7 linked regions of the Sus scrofa genome follow. The protein of the gene in region 1 purifies or fractionates together with the protein of each later gene. This does not show direct contact. Links are inferred from orthologs where the notes say so. Each region holds a gene or a part of one and is shown in the gene's direction. Other genes may lie near its edges. The genes, in order: RHOA, ATP1A1, ROCK2, DAAM1, C14H1orf198, MAP3K1 and MPRIP.

The links.
Region 2: the proteins of RHOA (region 1) and ATP1A1 purify together in Homo sapiens (affinity purification with mass spectrometry; 3 studies listed by BioGRID and IntAct, with this or other methods). This does not show direct contact. The link is inferred for Sus scrofa from reciprocal best matches to the Homo sapiens genes RHOA and ATP1A1.
Region 3: the proteins of RHOA (region 1) and ROCK2 purify together in Homo sapiens (affinity purification with western blotting; 3 studies listed by BioGRID, with this or other methods). This does not show direct contact. The link is inferred for Sus scrofa from reciprocal best matches to the Homo sapiens genes RHOA and ROCK2.
Region 4: the proteins of RHOA (region 1) and DAAM1 purify together in Homo sapiens (co-immunoprecipitation; 6 studies listed by BioGRID and IntAct, counting the BioPlex papers as one, with this or other methods). This does not show direct contact. The link is inferred for Sus scrofa from reciprocal best matches to the Homo sapiens genes RHOA and DAAM1.
Region 5: the proteins of RHOA (region 1) and C14H1orf198 purify together in Homo sapiens (co-immunoprecipitation; 3 studies listed by BioGRID and IntAct, with this or other methods). This does not show direct contact. The link is inferred for Sus scrofa from reciprocal best matches to the Homo sapiens genes RHOA and C1orf198.
Region 6: the proteins of RHOA (region 1) and MAP3K1 purify together in Homo sapiens (affinity purification with western blotting; 4 studies listed by BioGRID). This does not show direct contact. The link is inferred for Sus scrofa from reciprocal best matches to the Homo sapiens genes RHOA and MAP3K1.
Region 7: the proteins of RHOA (region 1) and MPRIP purify together in Homo sapiens (affinity purification with mass spectrometry; 3 studies listed by BioGRID and IntAct, with this or other methods). This does not show direct contact. The link is inferred for Sus scrofa from reciprocal best matches to the Homo sapiens genes RHOA and MPRIP.

What each region holds. Positions count from the first base shown.
Region 1 is NC_010455.5:31,921,708-31,925,207, reverse strand, and holds part of RHOA (transforming protein RhoA), read left to right. Parts: intron 1-1,376; coding exon 1,377-1,497; intron 1,498-3,500. UniProt on the Homo sapiens protein: Small GTPase which cycles between an active GTP-bound and an inactive GDP-bound state.
Region 2 is NC_010446.5:104,363,017-104,366,516, reverse strand, and holds part of ATP1A1 (sodium/potassium-transporting ATPase subunit alpha-1), read left to right. Parts: intron 1-2,673; coding exon 2,674-2,808; intron 2,809-3,325; coding exon 3,326-3,500. UniProt on the Homo sapiens protein: This is the catalytic component of the active enzyme, which catalyzes the hydrolysis of ATP coupled with the exchange of sodium and potassium ions across the plasma membrane.
Region 3 is NC_010445.4:125,454,073-125,457,572, forward strand, and holds part of ROCK2 (rho-associated protein kinase 2), read left to right. Parts: coding exon 1-54; intron 55-2,103; coding exon 2,104-2,164; intron 2,165-3,035; coding exon 3,036-3,047; intron 3,048-3,500. UniProt on the Homo sapiens protein: Protein kinase which is a key regulator of actin cytoskeleton and cell polarity.
Region 4 is NC_010443.5:188,506,335-188,508,964, forward strand, and holds part of DAAM1 (disheveled-associated activator of morphogenesis 1), read left to right. Parts: intron 1-534; coding exon 535-705; intron 706-2,004; coding exon 2,005-2,214; 3' UTR 2,215-2,630. UniProt on the Homo sapiens protein: Binds to disheveled (Dvl) and Rho, and mediates Wnt-induced Dvl-Rho complex formation. May play a role as a scaffolding protein to recruit Rho-GDP and Rho-GEF, thereby enhancing Rho-GTP formation. Can direct nucleation and elongation of new actin filaments.
Region 5 is NC_010456.5:59,515,258-59,519,553, forward strand, and holds the start of C14H1orf198 (uncharacterized protein C1orf198 homolog), read left to right. Parts: upstream 1-1,496; 5' UTR 1,497-1,548; coding exon 1,549-1,881; intron 1,882-4,296.
Region 6 is NC_010458.4:35,924,301-35,927,800, forward strand, and holds part of MAP3K1 (mitogen-activated protein kinase kinase kinase 1), read left to right. Parts: intron 1-1,911; coding exon 1,912-2,033; intron 2,034-2,608; coding exon 2,609-2,690; intron 2,691-2,796; coding exon 2,797-2,980; intron 2,981-3,500. UniProt on the Homo sapiens protein: Component of a protein kinase signal transduction cascade. Activates the ERK and JNK kinase pathways by phosphorylation of MAP2K1 and MAP2K4. May phosphorylate the MAPK8/JNK1 kinase.
Region 7 is NC_010454.4:61,109,405-61,112,904, reverse strand, and holds part of MPRIP (myosin phosphatase Rho-interacting protein), read left to right. Parts: coding exon 1-142; intron 143-916; coding exon 917-1,424; intron 1,425-3,500. UniProt on the Homo sapiens protein: Targets myosin phosphatase to the actin cytoskeleton. Required for the regulation of the actin cytoskeleton by RhoA and ROCK1.

The sequences.
Region 1 (3,500 bases):
TAGAAACTGAAATACAGGCTCCGAAAATGTTAGAGGGAGGAATTCCCATTGTGGCTCCACGATAATGAATCTGACTAGTATCCATGAGGACGTGGGTTCGATCCCTGGCCTTGCTCAGTGGGTTAAGGATCTGGTGTTGCCGTGAGCTGTAGTGTAGTTCGAAGACATGGCTCAGATCCCAAGTTCCTGTGGCTTTGGTGGAGGCCGGCAGCTACAGCTCCAGTTTGACCCCTAGCCTGGGAACTTCCATATGTCGCTAGTGAGCTCTAAAAAGCCCCCCAAAAAAAGATGTTGGGGAAGAAGGATATTCTAGGCATTGGAGGGGCAACTCCTTGAGCCCCAAAGGGCCCCTGAACAGAGGGTTGTAAAAATCTCATTGTGGTGGTAAGAAGTGACAGGGCTGGCTGCAGTGCTGAAAGGGAGCCTTATGTCCAAAGCCCAGGCATCAATTTGCCTTCCTACTGCTGGAAGGTGATCCAATTCCCAGGTATGAAAGGAGAACCTCCTACCTATGTGATGCTTTCATCCAGCCATTCATTCATTTTTTGAGCAATAATAGGCCTATCCTGTCAGCTCAGACCTTGCCTGATACCCAGGATGGTGTCTTTACTTAACCACTAACTGAAATACAATCTTATTTCCACATTGGAACAGAATGATGAGACAAAGTAAGGAAATGGTTAAGTGAGAATGTAACAGGAGTTCCCGTCGTGGCTCAGTGGTTAATGAATCTGACTAGGAACCATGAGGTTGCGGGTTCGGTCCCTGGCCTCGCTCAGTGGGTTAAGGATCCGGCGTTGCCATGAGCTGTGGTGTAGGTCGCAGACGTGGCTCGGATCCCGAGTTGCTGTGGCTCTGATGTAGGCCAGCAATTAGACCCCTAGCCTGGGACCCTCCATATGCTGCAGGAGCGGCCCTAGAAAAGGCCAAAAAAAAAAAAGAGAGAATTTAACAGGAAAAGTTACTTATTTTGATTTTTTCCTATTTTGCTTTGTATACCTGGTGGAATGTTATTTATAATTGATTTCTCTTCTTGTTCATCTGCTTTCTTTCCTATATAGAATGTTATTTATGATTAAATACTTAAAGCTACAAAGTTATTTTAGTTACTATTATTTTTTACAAAGTTATTTTTGACTGAACATTTCGAATTAGGTACTTTATTCAGTTCTATTATCTGTCTATAAAATTTGCAGTTTTGAGAAATTGTAACCTAAAACAGTGTAAATACCTCTTAGCACCTTCAGGTTTGATTCCAATCTGTATTTTACTGTTTTGAACAGTCTGTCATTTGAAGGTACTATGGTAAGTGTCACTTCTTCTGAAAGTAAGTAATGGGATTAACCTGTACTCTATGTTTATTTTTCCTATCATAGGTAGAGTTGGCTTTGTGGGACACAGCAGGACAGGAAGATTATGATCGTTTGAGGCCCCTCTCCTACCCGGATACTGATGTTATACTGATGTGTTTCTCTATTGATAGCCCTGATAGTTTAGGTGAGTAGCCCTGTAGCCTAATGTCTGTCACTGCCTGTGTACTTGGCCGACCTTTGGTTTCTCATGTCCTTTCTGGGCATTTAAATGGCTGAAAAACTGACATGAGCTTCAGAGAAGGAATCATCAGTTGCCAGGGTCCTAGAGCCTTGGGACTGTAGAGCCTGAGCCCCAAATCCCTTTTCAGCTTAGGTCTCCTGTGGCTGCCATGTTCATCTTGGAAGGTAGGTAGGTTCTAAATACAAAGCTATTTTTTAGACTAGGATTTGGGGAAGGATTTTTTGGGTGTTAAGTAGTTGATATTGAGCCTACTGCCTCCCACTGTCTGGACTGCTGATTTGTTGAATCCTCAAAGTGTTTTTGTTTTGTTTTTTAAATTTTTTTAAATTGAAGTATGGTTGATTTACAATGTAGTATTAATTTCTGCTATATAACAAAGTGATTCTGTTATATTGCATTCTTTTTTTTAAGTATTCTCTTCCATTGTGGAAGTATTATGTGCTATACAGTAGGGCCTTGTTATCCATTCTATGTATAATAGTTTGCATCTTGGTAGTGTTTTTAAAGCCGTATTTTAGCTCTTTTATAAAATGTCTCGATAAGCAGTGAGATCCTGCTGTATAGCATTGGGAATTATATCTAGTCACTTATAATGGAGCATGATGGAAGGAGAAAAAGAATGTATATATAATATGTATGTATGACTGGGTCACTTTGCTATACAGTAGAAAATTGACAGACACTGTAAACCAGCTTTAATGGAAAAATTAAAATCGTTAATAATAATAATAATAATAATAAAGTGCCTCAGCTAAGACTTGAACCTGACCATTCCAGTAGCTCAGTTGGCCCCATGTTTCAGAATGTCCTTTCATTTAGAAAAAGAATGAATGAATCTGACTTCACACTGCAAAAACAGGCACCAAGACCTGAAAGAGAACTTGCTTTTGGAGTTCCCATTGTGGCTCATCAGTAATGAATCTGACTGATATCCATGAGGATGCAGTTTCAATCCCTGGCCTTGCTAAGTGGGTTATGGATCCGGTGTTGTGAGAGAGAGAGTTCTGTGGTTCCACATTCTCAGTGACTCCTGCCTTTTGGTAATGTGTTGAGGTCAGAGAGTGAACACTTTACTCCTAAAATACAGCCTTGGAGTTCCTGCCATTGATGCAAAGGGATTGGCAGCATCTCTGGAGCACCAGGATGCAGGTTCCATCCCTGGCCTGGCACAGTGGGTTAAGGATCCACTGTTGCCACAACTGTGGTGTAGGTCACAGCTGTGGCTTGGATCTAATCCCTGGCTTGGGAACTCCATATTCCATGGGGATGCCAAAAAAAAGAAAAAATAACAATAAATGAGGCTCAGTGGACTAATATCCATGAGGTTGCGGGTTTGATCCCTGGCCTTGCTCAGTGGGTTAAGGATCTAGCGTTGCTGTGAGCTGTGGCATAGCCCGGCAGCTACAGCTCAGATTTGACCCCTAGCCTGGGAACCTCCATATGCCGAGGGAGTGGCCTTAGAAAAGGCAAAAAGACAAAAAAAAAAAAAGAAAAGGAAAAAAGAAAATTCAGTCTCAAGTTACAATCAGGACCATTTAAACTAAGTAAGATATTAGTGTTAACCTGTTTTATAGTATCTCTGACCCTGAGATGCTCAAGGTGGCAGATATGGGAAGTTCAACCCAGGCCACTTGTACACCATGGTGTACATACAACCTTTCTAAATTACTGCAGTATTGGCAAGAAGCTACAGCTGTTATCATTTATTTTGATTTATTTATTTATTTTCTTTTTTGGCCAGCCCACAGCATATGGAATTCTGGGGCCAGGGATCAGGTAGGAGCCACAGTTGCAACAATGGATCCTCCTTTAACCCACTGTGTAGGGCAGGGATTGAACCTGCATCCCAGTGCTCCAGAAGTGCTGCCAATCCTGTTGAGTCACACACAAACTCCAGCTGGTTATCATTCATTTTTTAAAGCCACTCAAATCATTTGAAATACCAG
Region 2 (3,500 bases), on another chromosome or scaffold:
CCTATATGTGTGTGTGTTTTAAGTGGCACATGACCTTGGGGGGCTTTAAAGTAACTTCACCATAGGACACTTGGAACAGTCCATGGGATGCTTTGCTGTGTGTAATGAGTTGTGTTGCCTGTAGATCCCAAAGGATTTACAGTACCTGTGGTCCAAATAGGTCCATAAAGGGGGGAATATATAGTTAAAAACTGACCAGAGGAGTTTCCATTGTAGCTCAGCGGTAACAAATCCGACTAGTGTCCATGAGGGCGCAGGTTCAATCCCTGGCCTCTCTCAGTGGGTTAAGGATCCAGTGTTGCCGTGAGCTGTGGTGTAGGTCACAGACGTGGCTCGGATCTGGTGTTGTTGCGGCTGTGGTGTAGGGTGGCAGATGCAGCTCTGATTCGACCCCTAGCCTGGGAACTTCCATGTGCAGGGGGTACAACCCTAAAAAGACCAAAAAAAAAAAAAAAAAAATGACCAGAGGAGGTTTGGGGGAGGGGGGAGGCAGTCTTTACTGGTGGAAAAAACCTAAGTCCCAAAATCCAGTTTGACTGCTCTTGAATTTATCTGATAATCCCCTAACCTAGTGGACAGTGAGGGCTCCTTGCTTGTGTGACTCAATAATCGCATTTGCATATTAGGATACGGTAGATTCCAGTAAATCTCGTAAGCCATTTATTTTCTTAAAATAGCTCAGCTATTTCTCTTATCTTGTTCTTAGCTTGCCTACTAATGATGCAAAAATAAACTCAGCCTCATGGAATTCACATGAAATTTGAAATGACTGAGATTTTACTGTGTTGCTTAGTAAAAGTCGAAGACCCAGAAAGGTCACGAGCTGCACAGGGTCCTTGAGGGTGAGAAAGAGTTGTGTGGGGCCCTCTGGGTGGGCTCACTCTCACCAACGCCCCCTGTGGTGGTTCTGGGTAGAAGCCAAGCGGTCAGCGAATATAGTTCTGGTGGAACTGGGGTGGCTTGAACATGGGGTTCCTTGATTCCGTAAAGGAGATCTCTTGGCATTGAATTGACGTTGATTTAAGGAGGATATTGTTTATCTTGGGATAAAACTTGAGATGCTCATTTCATGTTTTTCCTTACCTCAAAGTGGAAATTTTCTAGCCTATGAGCACAGAGACTCACAAGTATCAAACCTTGCCTCATTTAAAAGCTCCAGAGGGAGTTCCGTCCATGGCTCAGCAGTTAATGAACCCAGCCAGCTATTATCCATGAGGATGAGGGTTCAATCCCTGGCCTCCACTCAGTGGGTTAAGGATCCAGCATTTCCATGAGCTGTGGTGTAGGTCACTGATGCAGCTTGGATCCTGCCTGGCTGTAACCGTGGTGTAGGCCAGCAGCTGTAGCTCCGATTTGACCGCTAGCCTGGAACTTCCATATGCTGCAGGTGGGCCTTAAAAAGCAAAAAATAATAATTAAAAAAAAAGCTCCAGAAAGGTAGCATGTGATATATTTCTAATTATTTCAGGGGCTTGGGGCCATGGGGTGTTTGTTTGTTTTTTGAGTTTTGGGGGGATATATATATATATATATATATATTTTTTTTTCCCTTTGTCCATGCCCAAGGCATATGGAAGTTCTCAGGCCAGTGACAATGCTGAGTCCACTAGGGAACTCTGGGTCCATGTTATTTTAATGGCATTATTAAAAAAAAAAAAAAAAACCATGCAGGCCTATTCTGCTTCAATAACTGTGGCCTTTTACTAAAATGATCCCACTTCTTTTATGCTTCTCACCAAACCTGGCCACATTTATTAAACAAGGCTGCTGCATTTGTAAGTGGGCATTAATTTGCTCATCTACATGTACGGCCCGGCATGCCAGAGTTCAAAAATGTTTCTCTCTGTATAAGTTGGCGATAGCTGGAAATGTTTTCAGTCTATGTCACCATGTAAGTGTGTCACAGTACATCACACGAACTATGTGTTACCTGAAGTGGGGGCATTCGCTAAAACGTTAGGCTGATTACATGACCATTGGAGCTCATCATAGCTTTCAGTCCGCACCCTTCAGCCCCAGATAATTCTGCACAATTGAATTATGTTGGGAATGTCAAGTCCTCGGCTTTGCCCTTGACACAGACAGTTTGCCTGTGGTCCTGAGAACCCAAGGCATCTTCTTTTAAACTGCAGGGCGAAGAAGCGTGCCGTATTGACTCACTCTCCACTTTTAGATTCCTAACCCCAAATAGGTGATTGGGAATAGTGTTGGCTCAGAGACTTCCCCGCAGGCCTGGGAAAAGTAAAAAACAAAACAAAACAAAAAAAAAAGAGGCCGGATTGGCCAACGAGGACCTGCTGGATAGCACAGAGAACTGTACCAGGTGTTCTCTGACAATCTCCATGGCAAAAGAATCTGAAAGAGAATGGATGTGCGTATGATGCAGAAATTATCACAACCGCATAAATCAACTATACTTCAATAAAATTTTTTTAAAACGAGAGACTGAAGGAGGTGGGGAGGGGTGTTGGCCTTCTCCCACGGGGAGGTGACACCTTCAGGCACCAAGTTGGGGCGGGGGGGGAGTCCCGCTGGCAAGGAGGAGGAGGTTGCAGTTTGCTTCCGAAGGGCCGAGATGCTTCCGGTCACTCCCGGCAGCTGTGCGCCTCCTCGCCCGAGCTCCCCCTCCTTTTTCCTGTTGGCAGGGGGACTAACAGAGGGTCTCTTTTGCAGCGGGCAGTGGCGGGCGACGCCTCCGAGTCCGCGCTCTTAAAGTGCATCGAGCTGTGCTGCGGGTCCGTGAAGGAGATGAGGGAGCGATACACCAAGATCGTCGAGATTCCCTTCAACTCCACCAACAAGTACCAGGTCCGAAGATGGAGCTGGGAGAACCGTCTTCCCCTTGGGAATTGTACACGCGCAACTGCTTTCTTAAAATGAATTACGCACGCTTTTCAGAAATGCTTTAGCTTTATGTCTTACCTTGACTGCAGGTAGAAAGAACGTTCTGGTTTGTTTGAATATCAGTGGGATAAATGAAGCCTCCTTTAAAATGTAGTCGGGGCCCTTCTGCATTCTCAGGTGGGGGTCGGAGTGAGCATGGTGTTGGGGGGAGGGGGCTTGGTAGGGCCGCAGGTGCACACGTGTGTGCCATCCCTTCATTCTGAATTTTCTTCTGGAAAATTCTGGATCTGAACGTATGTCAGGGATATATGAGCACCTCACCGTGCGAGGTTCCTGCGTAGCATTCAAAGCGTGTTTCATCGGGGGAGGGGATCCTGGGTATTTTTTCAAAACAGGCCCTAAATAGTTAAGGGAGTGCAGCTGCCTCCTGGGGCCACCACGCCCGGCCATCCAGCATTTACACCTCCACTGTCCTTCCCAGCTGTCCATCCACAAGAACCCCAACACGGCTGAGCCCCGGCACCTGCTGGTGATGAAAGGTGCTCCAGAAAGGATCCTGGACCGCTGCAGCTCCATCCTCATCCACGGCAAGGAGCAGCCCCTGGACGAGGAGCTGAAGGACGCCTTTCAGAACGCCTACCTGGAGCTGGGTGGCC
Region 3 (3,500 bases), on another chromosome or scaffold:
TTTCGTGGGAAATCAGCTGCCCTTTATAGGGTTTACCTATTATAGAGAAAATCTGTATGTGATTTGTTTGTTGTGTTTTTATTGTTTGTAGGAGCTATCTATAAAGAGTTGTCTTACTTCGAGACTCTGAATTATAGAAGACAAGGTTAATTTGTTTTAAACTGAGTTTTTTTCAATGAATATTATATGATATTTGTTTACAAATCAGTGTGAGGCAATAGTCTGTATTGTTGGGGGTATGTAAAGTAATACCAAATACCTACTTTTGAAGGAGCTTGTCAACTAATAAGGGATATAATTGTGAGAGTTATATAGGCATAATGAAGGGTAGAATGTGATATTTGCCTTAAGAAAGTTACCAAAAAGATCTGAGATGGTTCCGAAGAAAAATAAAAGTTCTGTCTCATTGGGGCGAGGGTGGGAAAAGTCAGGTAAGACCTCAGGAAAAAGGTAGCATTTTAGCTGAGACTAATGATAAAGGGTTTTGAGTGACTGAGATGTAGGGAGCTTGGGGGAGTATAGTGGCGAGGTGAATAATAGAATCAAAAGTTTGGAATGTAAGCATCTATTGGGGACAGAGTGGTACAGTCCAGGAAGGCTCAAACGTAGGGTAAATGTCACTATGTTAGGAGGACCGTTTGGAGTATCTAATGGGACTGTATTTTTCTTGCCTGTAATTCTCCCATCTGGTGCAGAGCCTATTACAAGATCGTTTAATAAATATTGGTCAACTGGAGTGAGTATTGGCTATAAGATTAGAAAACAGATTGGAGATGGAGCTTAGCGGAAGCTTAATAAAACGGTTGTTGTGTGCTGTGCTAAGGGACTTTAGACTTTGACAGGCATTGAGGGGCCATTGAAAACTGTTCAATAGTTGAGTGAAGCGTTAAAGACATTTAAGAAACATAGATTTGAGAAATTTCTTGTACTTCCATGTATGTAGTGGTTGGGGTGATCAACCATTACGGTTTGGACTGAGGGGTTTACTAGGATGTGGTGTGGGACTTTTATGCTTCACCTGGGAAAATCCCAGCAAACCAGGTTGAGTTGTTCATCCTGCTAATGATAGTGCTCTGAAAATTGTTGTAATGCCGACTAAAATGAGGGTATCAGTGCCAGGCATGTTTATAAACAGTGAGAGAGGAGTTGGCAGTTGAATAGATGTGATGACTTAGGTATTAAGATCTGAAGATCCAAAGGTGTTGTCTTTGAGGGAGTTCCCATTGTGGTGCAGTGGAAACAAATTCACCTAGTAACCAAGAGGATGCGGGTTTGATCCCTGGCCTTCCTTGGTGGGTTGGGGATCCGACATTGCTGTGATCTGTTGTGTCGGTCCCAGACTTGGCTTGGATCTGGTTTTGCTGTGGCTGCGGTGTCGGCCGGCACCTGTAGCTCCAATTCAACCCCTAACCTGAGAACTTGGCATATGCCGCAAGTGCGGCTCTAAAAAAAAGGAAAGAAACAAATGTTATCTTTGAAAAGGAGAGATGTCTCTTTCTAGAAGATTTCTAGAAAAGAAGGATAAAATAGTTGAAGTTCCCGTCATGGCTCAGCAGAAACGAATCTGACTAGCATCCATGAGGATGCAGGCTCAATCCCTGGCCTCCCTTAGTGGATTAAGGATCCGGCATTGCTGTGAGCTGTGGTGTAGGTTGCAAACTCAGCTCAGATCCTGCATTGCTGTAGCAGTGGTGTAGGCAAGTGGCTGCAGCTCCAATTGGACCCCTAGCCTGGCAACCTCCATATGCCGCAGGTATGCCCCCCCCCCCCAGAAAAAAAAGAAGAAGAAGAATAAAATAGTCATAGAGTCATAGGAACTCAAAGGAGAGGGAAGAAAGTATACAGTGCTGCTTGGTGACCCCAGTCTCAACAATGTTGAGGACTAGGACATCCACTAAGAGTGAGAGGCAAGAAATATTTAATGTTTTAAATGGTCGGAAATGATATAAATCTCTAGAGGGGAAAATATTGCTTCCTTTAAAATATGTTGAACTGAAAAGAAAGATAATCTTTGTGGTTGGAATTTAATTCTGAGGATGACTTTGTATAGAAAATGAATTAAAATGACATGCAAAATAATTTCTTTCCTGCTTTTCCTTCTAGGTTATTAAGTGACTCTCCATCTTGTAAAGAAAATGATTCAATACAAATAAGGAAGAATGAAGTATGTATAAATTTTTACTACTTTATTTGTTTTTTTGTCATTTTGCCCTTTTCTAGGGCTGCATCCCACGGCATATGGAGGTTCCCAGGCTAGAGGTCTAATCGGAGCTGTAGCCACTGGCTACACCGGAGCCACAGCAACTCGGGATCTGAGCTGTGTCTGCGACCTACACCACAGCTCATGGCAACGCTGGATCCTTAACCCACTGAGCAAGGCCAGGGATGGAACCTGCAACCTCATGGTTCCTAGTCAGATTTGTTAACTACTGCGCCACGATGGGAACTCCCTTTACTACTCTATTTTAATCACATGTTCAAATATTTTAGTAATATCTGTATTTTAAAAGTCCAGTTGATGCCTCTTTTAGATGGCATTCTTTGTTGCAATTCAGTTCAGCATAGCATTGAAATGATTCATTTATTTGACAGGTATTGTATGGAATCCAGTGGCTGATGAGAAGATGAATTATACATGGCTTTAGGTTTAGTTTTAGTACCAAAAGTGGTAGAATAGGGTTACAAACAGCTGTATTTTCTACCAGCCAGAAAATTTTATCTTAGTACTATAAAATGTTCAGATAACAAGCTATAAGGATTCAGAAATAGTTGAGAGATTTAAATTTTGAGTATTTAGGAATGAATTCACATAAAGGATAATTTTATCAAAATGTTATAGTATTTTATAGCCTCTGTACTTTGTAACTATATACAAAGCTATATCGTGCACATAAATGTGGCTGCTAAACATTTTTCTCTTCAAAACATATAAAAACTAAAAAAATTGGTTGGGTCATTTTGGTATGATTTGTGTTTTAGGAATTTTCACAAAGCATAGTAATCTTTTTGATGTTTTTGTGTTTTGTTTTAAATAGGAAAGTCAAGAGGTATGTTGATGTCGAATATGTTGAAAAACAGACATACTCGTCACTCTAGCAATGTTCTGATGTAACCATATCCTACCTAGCATTTGGAATACTGCATCTACCAAGAGAGAAGTTCCTAACCTTTTTTCTACCAAGTATTTTTTTTATTATTGCTCCTATGGATTTTTTGTTTAAAAATGTATATTGCACATTTTTTGGTTTTTATTTATTGAAGATATATACCTAGCAGCAAGAACTTTTGATTAGCATGTGGTAACTAGTATGATCAAGTTATACTAATGCAGGAGCAACCAAAAGCTGTTAAACTTTACTAGTTCATTGGCCTGTCTTTTCTTACTAGGGAAATAATACAGTTTTGCTTAAAGATATATGAAATATATTAGAAATCATGGAGAACTAATCACTAGAAAGAATAGTGGAAAGAACCTTGCTCTTAGAATCTAATAGACTTGG
Region 4 (2,630 bases), on another chromosome or scaffold:
TGGGGTTGTATTAATGATTCCATAATTGGCTATTTTCTAATCGAGACCCAGGAAATATAGTAATACCAGCATTATTTACGATTAGGAAAAACAACTAAGAAACAATGTATCCCATTTGCTTTTGATATTAACCACATGGCACCGATGAGTGATATTAAAGTACTTCAAAGAAAAGCTAAAAGTACAAAGTTCCCTTACCCCTGCTGCGTTTGCCATTAGTTTTACGTCCTTAGTGCTCTGCCCTACCATATTCTGCTTTCTTGTTTTTACTACTGTTTTAGTCAATAAAAAGTCATAGGATGTAATCATAGGTGTTAAGCTGAAATGAGGTGGAGAAGAATCAATGGTCTCCAAAGTCAAGGAGTATTAAATTTCCTCCTTTAGAAATGAGAGTCATGTTCTACAACCAGAGATAAATCCCGTGCCCTATATTTGACTCAATTTGAGCTTTAGCCCCTCTAGAGAGATTTATATTTATTTGATCATGGCATTCCCATGGAACACTGAACTTCGTAAAACCTTCTTTTTTTCCAGTTTACTAAAGCAGTGAAACACTTTGGAGAAGAGGCTGGCAAAATACAGCCAGATGAGTTCTTTGGCATTTTTGATCAGTTTCTTCAAGCTGTGTCAGAAGCCAAACAAGAGAATGAAAACATGAGAAAGAAGAAGGAGGAGGAAGAGCGCCGAGCGCGCTTAGAGGCTCAGGTAGGAGGGTGATTAACTTGCCAGTTCCACCTCCTGGACGTTCTGTCACCTCATCTCCTTGGTTTTCAGAAAGCATTCTGATGTGCTGACAAGGCGGGCATCAGAGATGCTCTTGGGAGCTTCCATCAGTGGAAAGTCGGCAATGTGACAGTATATATCTAAAGCCTGAAAAATTACATCCACATCCTGTGACGTGCAGTTCCACTTTTTAGAAATCATTCTAAAGAACTCAATCATCATAAATGTGCATGAAGAGACCAATAACCTTTATAATAAGCCCTAACCTGGAGACAACCTGGGTATTTACCAACTGGGCATTAGTTAAATGTTGTAATAGCTACATAATGGAATATTTGGCAGTCCTTAAACTTCATGTCTTTAAAGAATAGTTAATGATGTGAGAAAGCTTATTTCTACATGAAATATCTGTGTGTGTATAAAGTTGTGTTAATGCTGGTGGGATATATCCCCAAAAGGTTCATAATGGTTATCTCTTGATAGAATTAAGGATGATTTTTCTCCCCTGTGTTTATCTGAAGATCTAAATGTTCTATAATGTATGCGTATTATTTTGCTTTTCATAAACATACTCTTTAGTGGGTTCCAGGCATCCACAGTCAGAAGAGCCTAGGCCTTTGATGTCAGCAGCATGGCCTAATGAGCTTTGGCTTTAGTCTCTATACCATCAAAGCAGCCGATATTTGGGGTCAGTTTAACTGAGATAACTTTCTCATTCCATCATAGAAGAGTGACTAGCCTCAATTCCTTTTTTTTAAAAAACTAGACTATCATGAGTTTTACATAGATTCTAAACAGTGAGAGTGTAATCACAAAGGAGATGGTCAATTTTTTCATTGTTCCTTGTTTTTTTGGTTTTTTAGGGCCATACCCACTGCATATGGAGGTTCCCAGGCTAGGGATCAAATCCGAACTGTAGCCACCAGCCTATGCCACAACCACAGCAACGCAGGATCTGAGCCGCATCAGTGACCTACACCACTGCTCATGGCAATGCCCGATCTTCAACCCACTGAGCAAGGCCAGGGATCGAACCTCTTGGATGCTAGTCAGATTTGTTTCCCCTGAGCCACAATGGGAACTCCTCATTGTTCCTTGCTTCAATGATGAGATCTCACATCCCAATCACCCTCTCTTGTGACATACAAAAGGGACGGCAGTTGTCAGTGAACATGACTCATTGTGACCGAGCCTCGGCCATGTTCCACAGAATTCGTCTCCACTGAACGCAAAATACAGTGTTTTGACACTTCTCTAAGAGGTTGCTTTCCATTTTCGCAGCTCAAAGAACAACGTGAAAGGGAACGGAAAATGAGGAAGGCGAAAGAGAACAGTGAGGAGGGTGGAGAGTTTGATGACCTGGTTTCAGCTCTGCGCTCAGGAGAAGTGTTTGACAAAGACCTTTCTAAACTCAAACGGAATCGCAAGCGTATTACCAACCAGATGACAGACAGCAGCCGTGAGAGACCAGTCACAAAACTCAATTTCTAATTTTCCTGGAAAACATTTTTAGAAAGCTCATTAGCAGCCCTTTGAAGTGACTAGAACTTTTCATTACACTGCCTTGCAATCCAAACAGTGGCAATTTCTCCTTTCATCTGTGAGTGAGTGGATGTGTGAATGTGTATGTAAATGTATGTGTGTGTATATATTAAGAAATGTATATAGAAGTCTGAGTGTTGTCTGGAGACCTATATGTTTGGTTAAAAAGAAAAAGAAATCTATGTTTATGTATGTGCTCAGAACCCCTTTGTATATGCATTCATATTGAGTGTGGCTCATCTTCCCCTGAACGACGACTGTTCAGAAGCACAAAACTCTCTCCTGAAAGAGAGAAACAGAGACATTCCCTAGACTAAAAAGAAAAACAAAAGAAAAAACAAACAAACAAAAAAGCTTGAGAAATA
Region 5 (4,296 bases), on another chromosome or scaffold:
CGTTAACCACTGCGCCACGACGGGAACTCCTCCAAGTGTTACTTTAGACGCAAAGCTCCTTAGTAACACCTGAAATACGGTCTTTTTTGTTTTAAATGTGGACATTTAATCTAGTCCGAGACCTGTTACAGTGTTGTGCAAATCAGCCAAGATAGAAAAGCAGACAGGGCTCTGCACAACTTTGATAGATGTATTCTGGGACACACCTGGCCCCCAACTACTGGGATGCCTATGAAACGACTCCTCTACTCAACTACTCCTCTGCCTGAAAACTTTCTGCTGCTCTTCAGTTGGTTTGCAAACATCCAACTGCCAAGAGTTTTGCGATTTCTGAGATTCCAAAGGAAATCTTGGAGAACGCAAAGGCCACTCGGCAGGCTTCGGAAAAACGCCTTCACCTGCAGAAGCAAAGCGAAGAACAGATTCACCAGCCCGCCGGCCCGATGCCTGCCCAGAAGTTCCGAGCTCTCTCCTTTTGGGGAAAAGCGCTATAAGGATAAGCTACCTGGCGCTTCATTTTACTCCTGTCTTTTCAGGAGGCGCGGGAAATGATTTTCTTTAAACACTCCCGACACCAGTCCAGTCTCCCCAGCTCTCTTCCGTGCCCTCGCTGCCCGGCGCCCACCCCTTCTATCAGCTCACCGCTCTGGGACCCTGGCCCAGGTCTTGGGATGGCTCAAAGAAAGCGAAGATGGCTCAACGGGGACAGGGACATGATAGGAATAAGGCGGCCGTTGGCTCAGTCCAGAAATGCCGGGCTTTCTTAAGCACAGCGGAGGGAGAGAAAAGTTTCCTTTGTCAAGCGACCACGTGGCGCTATGGCGGTCACTACCAGCAATCCTGCCAGAACGCCGGGTGCAGACTTGGGGACACGCCAGTCATCTCCCGCGCTGGCCAAGGGAAGCCCCGAAAAGTGGAGGCACCACGGAAGCCGAAGACAGCAGATCTGGAGGATGCTGTGAGGAGCGGAGGGCGGGATCCTTGGGGGGGTGCATGGGGCGGGATTCCCGGGGGTGGGAGGATGCGGGAGGCGGTGTTCCTGAAGGTGGGGGCCGCGGAGGGTGGGGTTCTCGGGGGCGGGGTGGACGGATGCAAGGGGCGGGGTTCCGGGGGTGGGGGCGTAGGGGGCGGGGTTCCCGGGGTGGCACGCAGGGGGCGGGGTTCCCGAGAGTGGGGGCCGCGGAGGGCGGGCCTCCCGGGGATAGGGACGCAGTGGGAGGAGTTACCGGGGTTGGGGCATGAGAGGTGGGGTTCCAGATGCGGGGGGCCCACGGAGGGCAGGGTTCCCCGGGGGTGGGGGGCGCAAAGTGCGGGGATCCAGGAGGAAGAGGTGGGCGTGAGCAGGGCTCCCGGAAGCAGCGGGGCGCGGAGGGCGGGGTCGCCGGAGTTGGGCGGGCACGGGGTGGGACTGCAGGAGGTGGGCGGGCTCGGGAGGCGGGGTTCCCGGGGGCAGTGGGGCGCTGCTCGCGGGGCGGCGCGGGGGGCGGTGCTCGGGCCGCAGGGCGGGGGTGGGGGCGGCGCGGGCGGGGAGCGACGGGCTGGCAGGGCATGGCGTCCATGGCGGCGGCGATCGCGGCCTCGCGCTCGGCGGTCATGAGCGGGAACCGGCCTCTGGACGACAGGGAGCGGAAGCGCTTCACCTACTTCTCGTCGCTGAGCCCCATGGCCAGGAAGATCATGCAGGACAAGGAGAAGATCCGGGAGAAGTACGGGCCCGAGTGGGCGCGGCTGCCGCCCGCGCAGCAGGACGAGATCATCGACCGGTGCCTGGTGGGGCCGAGCGCCCCCGCGCCCCGCGACCCCGGGGACCCCGAGGAGCTCGCGCGCTTCCCCGGGCTGCGCGGGCCCACGGGCCAGAAGGTGGTGCGCTTCGGGGACGAGGTAAGTACGGGCCGGGCCCCTACCCGCGCCCCGAGCGCCCCCGGCCGGGCGGACACCTGCCGGCTAGTGGCCGCCGCCGGCAGGCGCGCGGGCAGGGGCTGCAGAGGAGAAGGTGCAGGACCCGGAGTGGGTGGGAGGGACGGCCCAGATCCGGAGCTCTGGGGGCCGGGGCTCCCGGGGATAGTTTGGAGTATCTCAGAGAGGAGGTCTTTCTAGACCCTCCACCGCGACTTGCCCCGCCGGGCAGCATGGGACCCGAAACCGCTCCCAGAGCTAAAAGGCAGACCGAAGTGGCAAGAAGAGCAAGGGATTAAAGCCAGGCAAACCTGAGTTCTGTTCCACTCTGCCATTTAGCTGTCTGGCCATGGGTCACCTAACCTCTTGGGGCCTCTGTACCCCCGGGGAAACCGGGAATAGTAGTACCCATCCCAGGCCTGCCAGGGAAGGCGATCAGCAAGTTGTATATATATATATATATATTAATATTAATTATATATATATATTAATATTAATTGATGAGCTGTGTGGGGAGCGTGAAATTGTGAAGATAACAAGCAGGAAGAGGTGCCTTCCAGGGTTAGGAGGCAAAATCCGAAGCCCTAAGATGTTTCCGAGGAATCGTGCTGTGAAGCTTTGTTTTGGGAGTGAGCTTGGTGGTCCCGTTTTCCCACCAAAAAGCTAATGTAGACGTTTACACAAGCCCTGGGAAGACTTTGGTACATATAAGGGCATGCATGGGCCTCTGACCTAGACATTCATTGTGCCGGGACTTTTTGGAGGGGCGGTCATTGTGAAGGGAGAAAAGACTCAGACCCCAGGGAAGAAACCTCAGGGATGACCCACACAAAATTGTTCTGTGCTGCCCAGAAAGTTGGTCTTTTTCTTGGGAATGTGGTTACCTAAAACCTGTTGGGTGCCATTAGAATTTGCCTTCAAACTCAACTTTTGCTGTGAAGGTCAAAGTGGGACAAGCAGACTGAGAGGTTGGCATCCTGTGAGGGCCTGGAGGCTGCGGGGAGGAGGGGCTGGGCTTGGAGAGGTTTTCCGAGGAAGTTGTGAACGGTGGAAGGAATTCTAGTTAAGAATGAGGCTTAAATCTGAGTTTTAGGCGTGGGTGTGCTGAGACACTTATTAATACAAAATGTTTGTGGCTATAAACCCACTTGAATGCGAGGGAAGTGTGAGAGGACGGAAATATGCTGCCAGCGTTGCCATATCCTGACAGAATTAAAAGAAAAGTCTCAGAAGGCTTTGCCAGGAAAAACGAGGGTGTGGTAAACGGAAGAGATGAGAATATAGGTTTGAAATATATTCCTAGAGCTGAAACATTTTTAGTGTGAAAACATGCACCTCTCCAAAGACATTTGCAGGGTTGGTGCTCAGATCTGGGTGATGGAAAAGCAGGCAGGCCCTCTTTGGAAAAGTTAGGAATACATGACTTATGCGAAGACATAAACCTGCAAGTACTTAGAGATGTTGGAGCGTGACTGTCATTTTCCCTGAGCTTGCTGTCCGGCTAAGAATATACACATGCCTGCTCATCATCAACAAGCCCAGGCCCTAAAAGGGCCCAGTGTGGCTGATAAGGGAAGAAGACATGGCCAATTTTCTACTCTTGATTCCTTACCTGGGCGTCAGACCAAGCTGTTAGTGAATTTGTGAATCTGTAAACCTAAAGCCATTTAACAGCCAACGGAACTTTTCATTGTGGTCTCTACCTGTCCTTCTGGGAGCAGAAGGGCCCTGGTTTTCAGAATTGAGCTCAGCTTTGTGAAATGGGCTGGGAGCGTGTGTTGGAATGCCTCTGACCAGCCTCTCAGCGCGCATGGCAGAGAGAGAGTTTGAGGAGAGGTACAGAGGGACATTGCCTAGGGTGTATTTTTGCCTGCAGCAAAATACAGTGTGATTTAATTGCACTGGAGTGTCTACAACGTGTTCCTGGTACTTGGCAAGAGGTTGGTAACAGAGTGGACCTGTTGTCTCAGGCCCAGGAGGAGGGCCATTTGTGGAGGAAGGCGGGCTCCTGGGCACAAGGCAAAGGACAAGGTGAGGATAGGCTGCTGGGCAGAGTGGCCTGAATAAGTGGCCCCAGCTGTATCCAAAAGGGCCCTGAACCAGACTGAGGAGGGCAGTCCGACCCTTCCCATTTGCTCTGTCTTCAGATGTGGTTCTCAGGGCCTTCCCGGCTGCTCCTGGAACAGAGAATGCTCCCCAGCACCCTCCAGTGCCCTCCTAGCTCCACTCCATACCCTCCCCCAGCATCTCCAGTTGCCTGCTGATGAATGGGTGCTCAGGTGAACCCCAGCTCTTGCTTTAGCCTGTGTCTGACCTTGGATGATAAACAGGGCGGCCCACGTAGATACTCAGGAAAGACCACTTGGGATACTGGGCTCTGAGGGCCTTTTCCTAAGGCTG
Region 6 (3,500 bases), on another chromosome or scaffold:
TGATAAATCTGCTACAAACTGTTCTGTGATTTTGGGCAACTTATTTATAATAACTCAGAATCTTGTCTTTATGTTGTAATGGAAATACTGATTTTAAAAGCCACTCATCACATCCTGAAGGTTCAAACAAAAATTTGTAAATAGAAATAAAACCTTGCCCTTCATTCTGGGCTGCACACAAAATAACTTGTTAATAGTTTAATACATCTTTTAAAAATTAGGAGTTATCTTGTGGTGCAGCGGGTTAAGGATCTGTTATTGTCACTGCAGTGCCTTGGGTCACTGCTGTGGCACAGGTTGTCCCTGGCCCAGGAACTCCCACATGCTGCAGGTGCCCCCTCCCAAATTATAAAAAGCAAGGAATTTAAAAACTCTTCTCTGTACTCTGTGCTTATGCAGATTCACACACACACCAATACTACTCTCATCTTTCTTATTTTTAAATAAATATAAAACTATATATTTTAATCTGCAACTTTTTTTTTAAATTTAAAAAATGTTTTTACTTTATATATCAAGAAAATTTTCCTCAATACAAAAATATACACTACTTTCTTTTAGTAGCTGGCTACATAAGACTGAATGGATGAGACACAATATATTTTACCATTGCCATAATTAATGGACATTTAGTAACACTTTTGATTTTTTGTTTGCCTGTTAAATGCAAAAAATTTTCTTTTTTGTTTACACACAAAATACTTCTGTAAGACAGCATCCTAGAAAATAGGTTTTTTTTTAGGTCATGGGTATATACATTTAGTACTTGAAGAAATACTAGCAAATTCCTTTCCAAAAATTTCAGGTTTTTTATTCCTACCAGTAATATATATGAGAACCTGTTTTCCTGTGCCATTATCAACCTATTTAATTTGTGTGGGTCAGATTATCCTCCACCAACCCAGAAAAAAAGACAAATAAAATAAGATAGAGCTTTATTAATTTAACATGTATTTTGTACTTTTTCCAAATTTATTGGCTACTGGTATTTTTCATTTATCTTCTTTTCTCATTTTACTGTTAATATTTTTTTTACCAATTTTAAATCCACTTCGTATAATAGGAATAGTCAAATATATATAATTCAAATATACATAATAAAGTTATAATTTTGCCATAAATGGAATCATTCTAAAAAAGCTAGAATTCTGTCATGTTATCTGTTGTTTTTCACCATACAGCATACTATGGATATTTTTCTTTGTCATCATGCATGGATCTCTTTGATCCTTTTCAGAGACTTCATAGTGTCTTGGTGTACCATTTTTTTAAAACACTTTTTGATGTTCACTTGGTTGATTTTTTTTCCAATATGCCAAATAATACTGCAGTGAACATTCACACAAATATATCTTTATTATTTGTGTCCATTCCCTTATGATATATTCCTTGAAGGCTAGTTGAAAGGTTATATGCATTAAAAATGTGATATATTTGTTTCTAGGAAAGTTGGATCAGTTTATAAACCTACCAAAAGTGTCTGATATGGGTCTTAATACTTAAGGATGTGGAATAGATGAGCTCTGTGGTTCTTCCAATACTTGAAATCTTGAAACTGTTGGCATATAGTATGCTTGTACATAGTTAAACCTTATTAGCAGTTTGTTTATTCAAAAGGTCCAATAACAGAATTTTGGGGACACATATTTCTCTTAAGATTGTAGTTCATATATTGAATTATAGTCATAGCAAGAAAAGGTTAAACCATACCCACAACCTGTAAATTCATAATGGTGTGAATCTGATTCAGAATTACTGTGTATTAACAGGAGAAATACTTCTCTTATAACCTATACAAGAATTTTAAATTATTTTTCATAGTCCAAAGAAACCAAAATTGTTTTTAGCAATATGGCATTAATTCTCTTACATTCTTTTGTGGATAATGCTTTTGTTTCCTCTTCCTTATAGTATAAAAGATGAAGAGGAACAGATGTGTCCTATTTGCTTGTTGGGTATGCTTGATGAAGAAAGTCTTACAGTGTGTGAAGATGGCTGCAGGAACAAGCTGCACCACCACTGCATGTCAATCTGTATGTGGCTTTTTTTTCCCTATGCTTATTCAACACAGTTACTCTGTGAGCTAACTATGATTCAGGACTTGAACATAGCCTCTGGGGAGACTAGCGAGAGAAGGAAAGAAGTATATTTACGCTATATGTGAAGTTTTCAATGAACAGTAGTTCAGGATCTCTTAGGAGATGAACTATGTGAGCAAAGAAATGTTAGAAAGTGTGACACGTGTGGTAGTGGAAGTCACTCACAGAATTAGAGTTGTGATCTGGAAGGTGCACATTGGGGGAAGGAGGTGTAGGAAGGCCTGGACAGGCGTTCCAGAAAAGGTAACATCAAAGCAAGCTCTGGAATAGCATTACCAGTTTATCAAGTGGGCAGAATGTTTTGAAAGAGAGTCCATAAAATACATCTTATATAACTTAAAAAATAGCATTTGCAGAAATTACGAGCATTAGAATAACCTGCTATGTTTAGAATTTTTTGAGGTTCCTTCCATATAAATTCTAGATTAACCATTATGAACAATTATTACATAAATACTTAATGTTAAATATTTATATTTTTGTCAGTGTTTTTTTCCTTAATTTTTCAGGGGCAGAAGAATGTAGAAGAAATAGAGAACCTTTAATATGCCCCCTTTGTAGGTCTAAGTGGAGATCCCATGATTTTTACAGGTAAAAATTATGAATTAATGATTTGGGTATGTTTAATAAAAATGCTCTCAGAGTGTTATTTAAATCCGTTAATTTTTTTAGCAAGCTTTGTTAATTTTTCATTTAGCCATGAGTTGTCAAGCCCTGTGGATTCCCCTTCTTCCCTGCGAGCTGCACAGCAGCAAACCACACAGCAGCATCCCTTAGCTGGATCACAACGAAGGAATCAGGAGAGCAATTTTAACCTTACTCATTATGGAACTCAGCAGATCCCTCCTGCTTATAAAGATTTAGCTGAGCCATGGATTCAGGTAAGTAGTTCTTATTCTTCAGTTCTCCATGAAACATTTATAGACCAATTAATGTAGTTGTCTCCCCAGTTGTTTATAATTTAAGAAAGTACTTTTGCTTATCTCCATCATGACTCATTTCATTGAGAATTTTCATTTTACCTTTGGTGTTAATACTATGCCACTTACAGAGTTAAACTTCAAAAATTCTTTGTAGTCTTACCTCCCATCTCTAGAAACATCTTCCTGAACTGACAGACATAAACATTTACCCAAGGATAGAGGATCCATTTAATAGTAACTTGTCCCAGTGTTTAATCCCATTCCTTCCAAGAATTTCTGTCATTTTCTTATTTGCTTCCATTTAAAGTCAGTTTCTTCTTTCTGTATTTTTCATGGTATATGTTAGGTACTAAAAAATTGTTAAATGGATGAGTAAGAAAAAATATGTGGTATTTGCCTTGTATTAGTCATTTTTATTTGTAAGGACAGTTTCCATTCCTTTACTTTCTCTTCTGCTTAAATGCTTTTTCATCCTCAG
Region 7 (3,500 bases), on another chromosome or scaffold:
ACCAAGTCTACACTCTGGCAGGAAGAAATGCGGGCCAAGGACCAGTCAGATGGGAGCAGCCTGAGTCCGGCCCAGAGTCCAAGCCAGAGCCAGCCTCCTGCCGCCAGCACCCTGCGGGAGCCAGGGCTGGAGAGCAGAGACGGTAAGTACAGAGTGCAGAGACGGCACTAGTACAGGCCCCCCGACGGAGTTGGTGCTGGGACTCAGGGCCCGGAGCCCAACCCGCCTTCCAGCTCTTGGGTCCCGTCAGTGAGGCAGGAGGACGTCCCTGCTCGGGGCCCAGCAGGGGCTGCGAGACCACGACTCTGGGCCTTGGGGTCGTGTACGGGGGCCTCTGGGTCCTGTGCCCGGTGCCGCTTCGTGTCAGGGCTGGTCAGCACCAGAGGCCCCGCTGCCCTCGCTGTCCCGTCCTGCCCGGCCCCTGGATGGGGCGGGGGCGGAAGGCCCCGCGGAGGAGACGGTTGGCACTGGTGCTCCGCCTCCTTGCACTTGGGAGGTGCCTCCTCGTCCCCCGCCCGGGCCCGGAGGGCTCTGCACGGCCCGGGCTGGCCTCCCTGTTCCTGTCCAAGCAGGTCACTAGGGCTGAGGGGGCCAGCGAGACTGGCCCTGGTCCCTCAGGCAGAATGCGCTTGGTCCGGCTTGGCCCTCCCCTGGCAACACACACCGCCCATGTCCAGCCCGCTCACCCTCCCGCTGCTGCAAGCCCTCCCCCCGCCCTCCAAGACCATGCGCTCAGCCTGCACGGCCGGCTGGCCCTTGGGGTCCTCCTGGGTGTGTGGCCAGAAGCTCAGCGACCCCTGTTGGCCTGACGGGAGCTGGTTAGGGAGGGCCGGGGGTGGGCTGCGCCCCTTCTTGAAAGATCCTAGGACCAGAGGTGGCGGCAGGCCGAGCACGTCTCCTGTCCCCGCTCTTCCAGAGGAGAGCGCCACGAGCAGCGACCGCGTGGACGGCGGCCGCAAAGTCCGGGTGGAGAGCGGCTACTTCTCCCTGGAGAAGACCAAGCAGGACGTGAAGGCCGAGGAGCAGCAGCTGCCGCCGCCGCTCTCCCCTCCCAGCCCCAGCGCCCCCAACACCAGGTACAGTGGCCCCGGACCGCCCTCCCCGGAGCCGGGTCGTCCCCTTCCTCCGCCAGGTCCACAGCACCCGGGCCGAGGGGTCTGCAGCAGCTCCTCCCTGGACGCGGCCCGCCGGCCCCAGGCCCACGTGGACTCCGGCAGCACCGGCAGGCGGGGAGCAGAGAGACTGGGGCCCGCCTCCGCCTTCAAAGCCGGCAGGCAGTATGCCACCCTGGCCGACGTCCCCAAGGCCATCAGGATCAGCCACCGAGAAGCCTTCCAGGTGGAGAGAAGGCGGCTGGAGCGTAGGACACGGGCCCGGAGCCCTGGCAGGGAGGAGGTGGCCCGTCTGTTTGGCACCGAGCGGAGGTAAGAGGGGGCTGGAGGGTCTGGCGCAGGCACCGCAGCGCACGCCCTCCCCACCCTCAGGGCTTTCTGCGGACACTCGCACACGCTAGTGGCACACGTGTTCCCCCCGCCCTCCCTCGTCCACACGAGAGCCTGGGGAGAGGCGGGGCTTGGAGGTGGGCCCGGGACTGGGTCAGGTGGAGCCGTGGGCCTGGACTGGGTCTCAGGGTGGGGGCCCCTGTGCGTCCCCGAGAGCTGGGGAGGGAGTGTGGCTCCGTCCCTGAGGCCTACGAGCCCAGGCCTGCCCCAGAGCGCCCGAGGACCCCTCCCGCCAGGGCGTCCACCCCCAGCTGGACTGGAGCCTCTGCCCGGGGCGTGGGGGGGCCACCGGAGGCGCGGGGACCTTGCCGCCGTTGGAGCATCTGCATGCTTTCGGGGAGCAGGGAGAGCAAAGCCTTTTCAAAGAGGTTGCTTCTAGGAAGGAGGGTCAGACCCAGGCTCCAGAAGCACCTGCAGCATGTCCTCCCCGTCCACCCCGAGCTCAAGCCCAGCTCAGAGTTGGGGCACGCTATGGGGACAGACCAGGGCGGCCCGGGCTCCCTGCCAGGAGGCCGGCTGGGAACAGGATGCTTTGCTCTCCTGCCCCCTTGCTGCTTACCACCCACCACCTCCTCGGTGTCCCCTCCAGGTTTGGGGACCCGTGACTGGGGGGAGAAGGGGACAGCGTGCTTAAGTCCTCATGAGAGGCACCCTCCCAGCCGGTCTGTCTGCCCGGGGCATCAGCAGCCATCCCAGCACATGGGGGCAGAGACGGGGTCGAGAAGCAGGGGACACCTCAGGGGGACAGCCTGGCCCAGCAGAGCTGTGCCACCGAGCCCAGGCCCAGCCCGGGAACGGGAGGGCCCTGCTCCTGGGACAGATCCGGGGTGAGGCCAAGGCTGTCCTTAACTCACGTAACTGCACGTGAACGGCTTGCCGGCTGCAGGAGGCCACGGGGCCTCCTCGCTGCGTCCTGCAGGCCCCTGAGTGGGCAGCCACACCTGGTTTGGCGGTGACCAAAGAATTAACATTCAGCACACCTGCTTGGCTTAAATCCCTCTCGGCTGGCGGCGTGGGGTAGACGGCATCTCTGGGGCTTTGCTTTCCGCCTGCTCTTTGCCACCGTGGGGGTGGGCCTTCCCCTGTGCTGGCTCCCTGAGCCCCTCACCTCTGTGTCCTAACGCTGTAATGTCACTTTCTTACTGACCCTGATGACATCTGACTGGCTGTTGTCACTTTCCGAGGCCTGCTCTCTGGTCCTGAGTAGCCCCGCAATGTCTGTGTAGAACCGAACCCCAGATGGCAGGAGGTCGGCCACCGTCCCCAGAGGCGCAGCTGCCCAGGAGCCCGGCTGGGGGACCTCGGGGCTTAGTTTGGATGGGCCGTGGCCCTGAAGGGGTCCACCGACGGACCCCGGAGCCTGTGAAACACTTCTTGGGTTGTGAGCCAGTGCCGAGCGAGCGTGGGGAGGCGTGGCCTTTGTTGAACTGCTGGTGCCCCGCACCAGGGCCAGCTGCCCGTGGTCCCAGCTGCCCCTCAGCTAGAACCTGGGGAGGCGGATCTGTCCGTCACTAGCCCCTCCGAGAGGCTCTGCTGTCCTACCTGCAGGACTCCAGGGGACCCACGATTAAAAGGCCCCCCTGGGCACAGTCAGCCAGGGTCAGCTCACCAGAGCCCCGCAGGGGCTGCGCCCCTCCTCTCAGCTGACCCCGCGCTGCCCTGGCAGTGCTGTGGCAGGCGATTCGCATGTGACCCGGCGGGCGCTGTTCCCCAGGGCCCTCCCGGGCTGGCCAGGCCGGGGCCGATGGGGAGAGCTCTTGTTGCACATGCGGCTCCAAGGCCTGAGCGGGCCCGGGACCTCCTCCAAACCACCCACAACCGTCAAGGACGGGATGCCTCGGCCAGCCCGCTTACGCCGCTACCTGGCTTCCTGCACTCATGCCACGCGCCCTCTCCTGCCGCCCGCCTGCCCGCCCTCGGCCGCGCCTGCCCTGCTGGCCCCTGGCTCGGCCTGGGGGCATGGGTGGGAGCAGAGAGCCAGGTGCCTGGGCTCTGCCC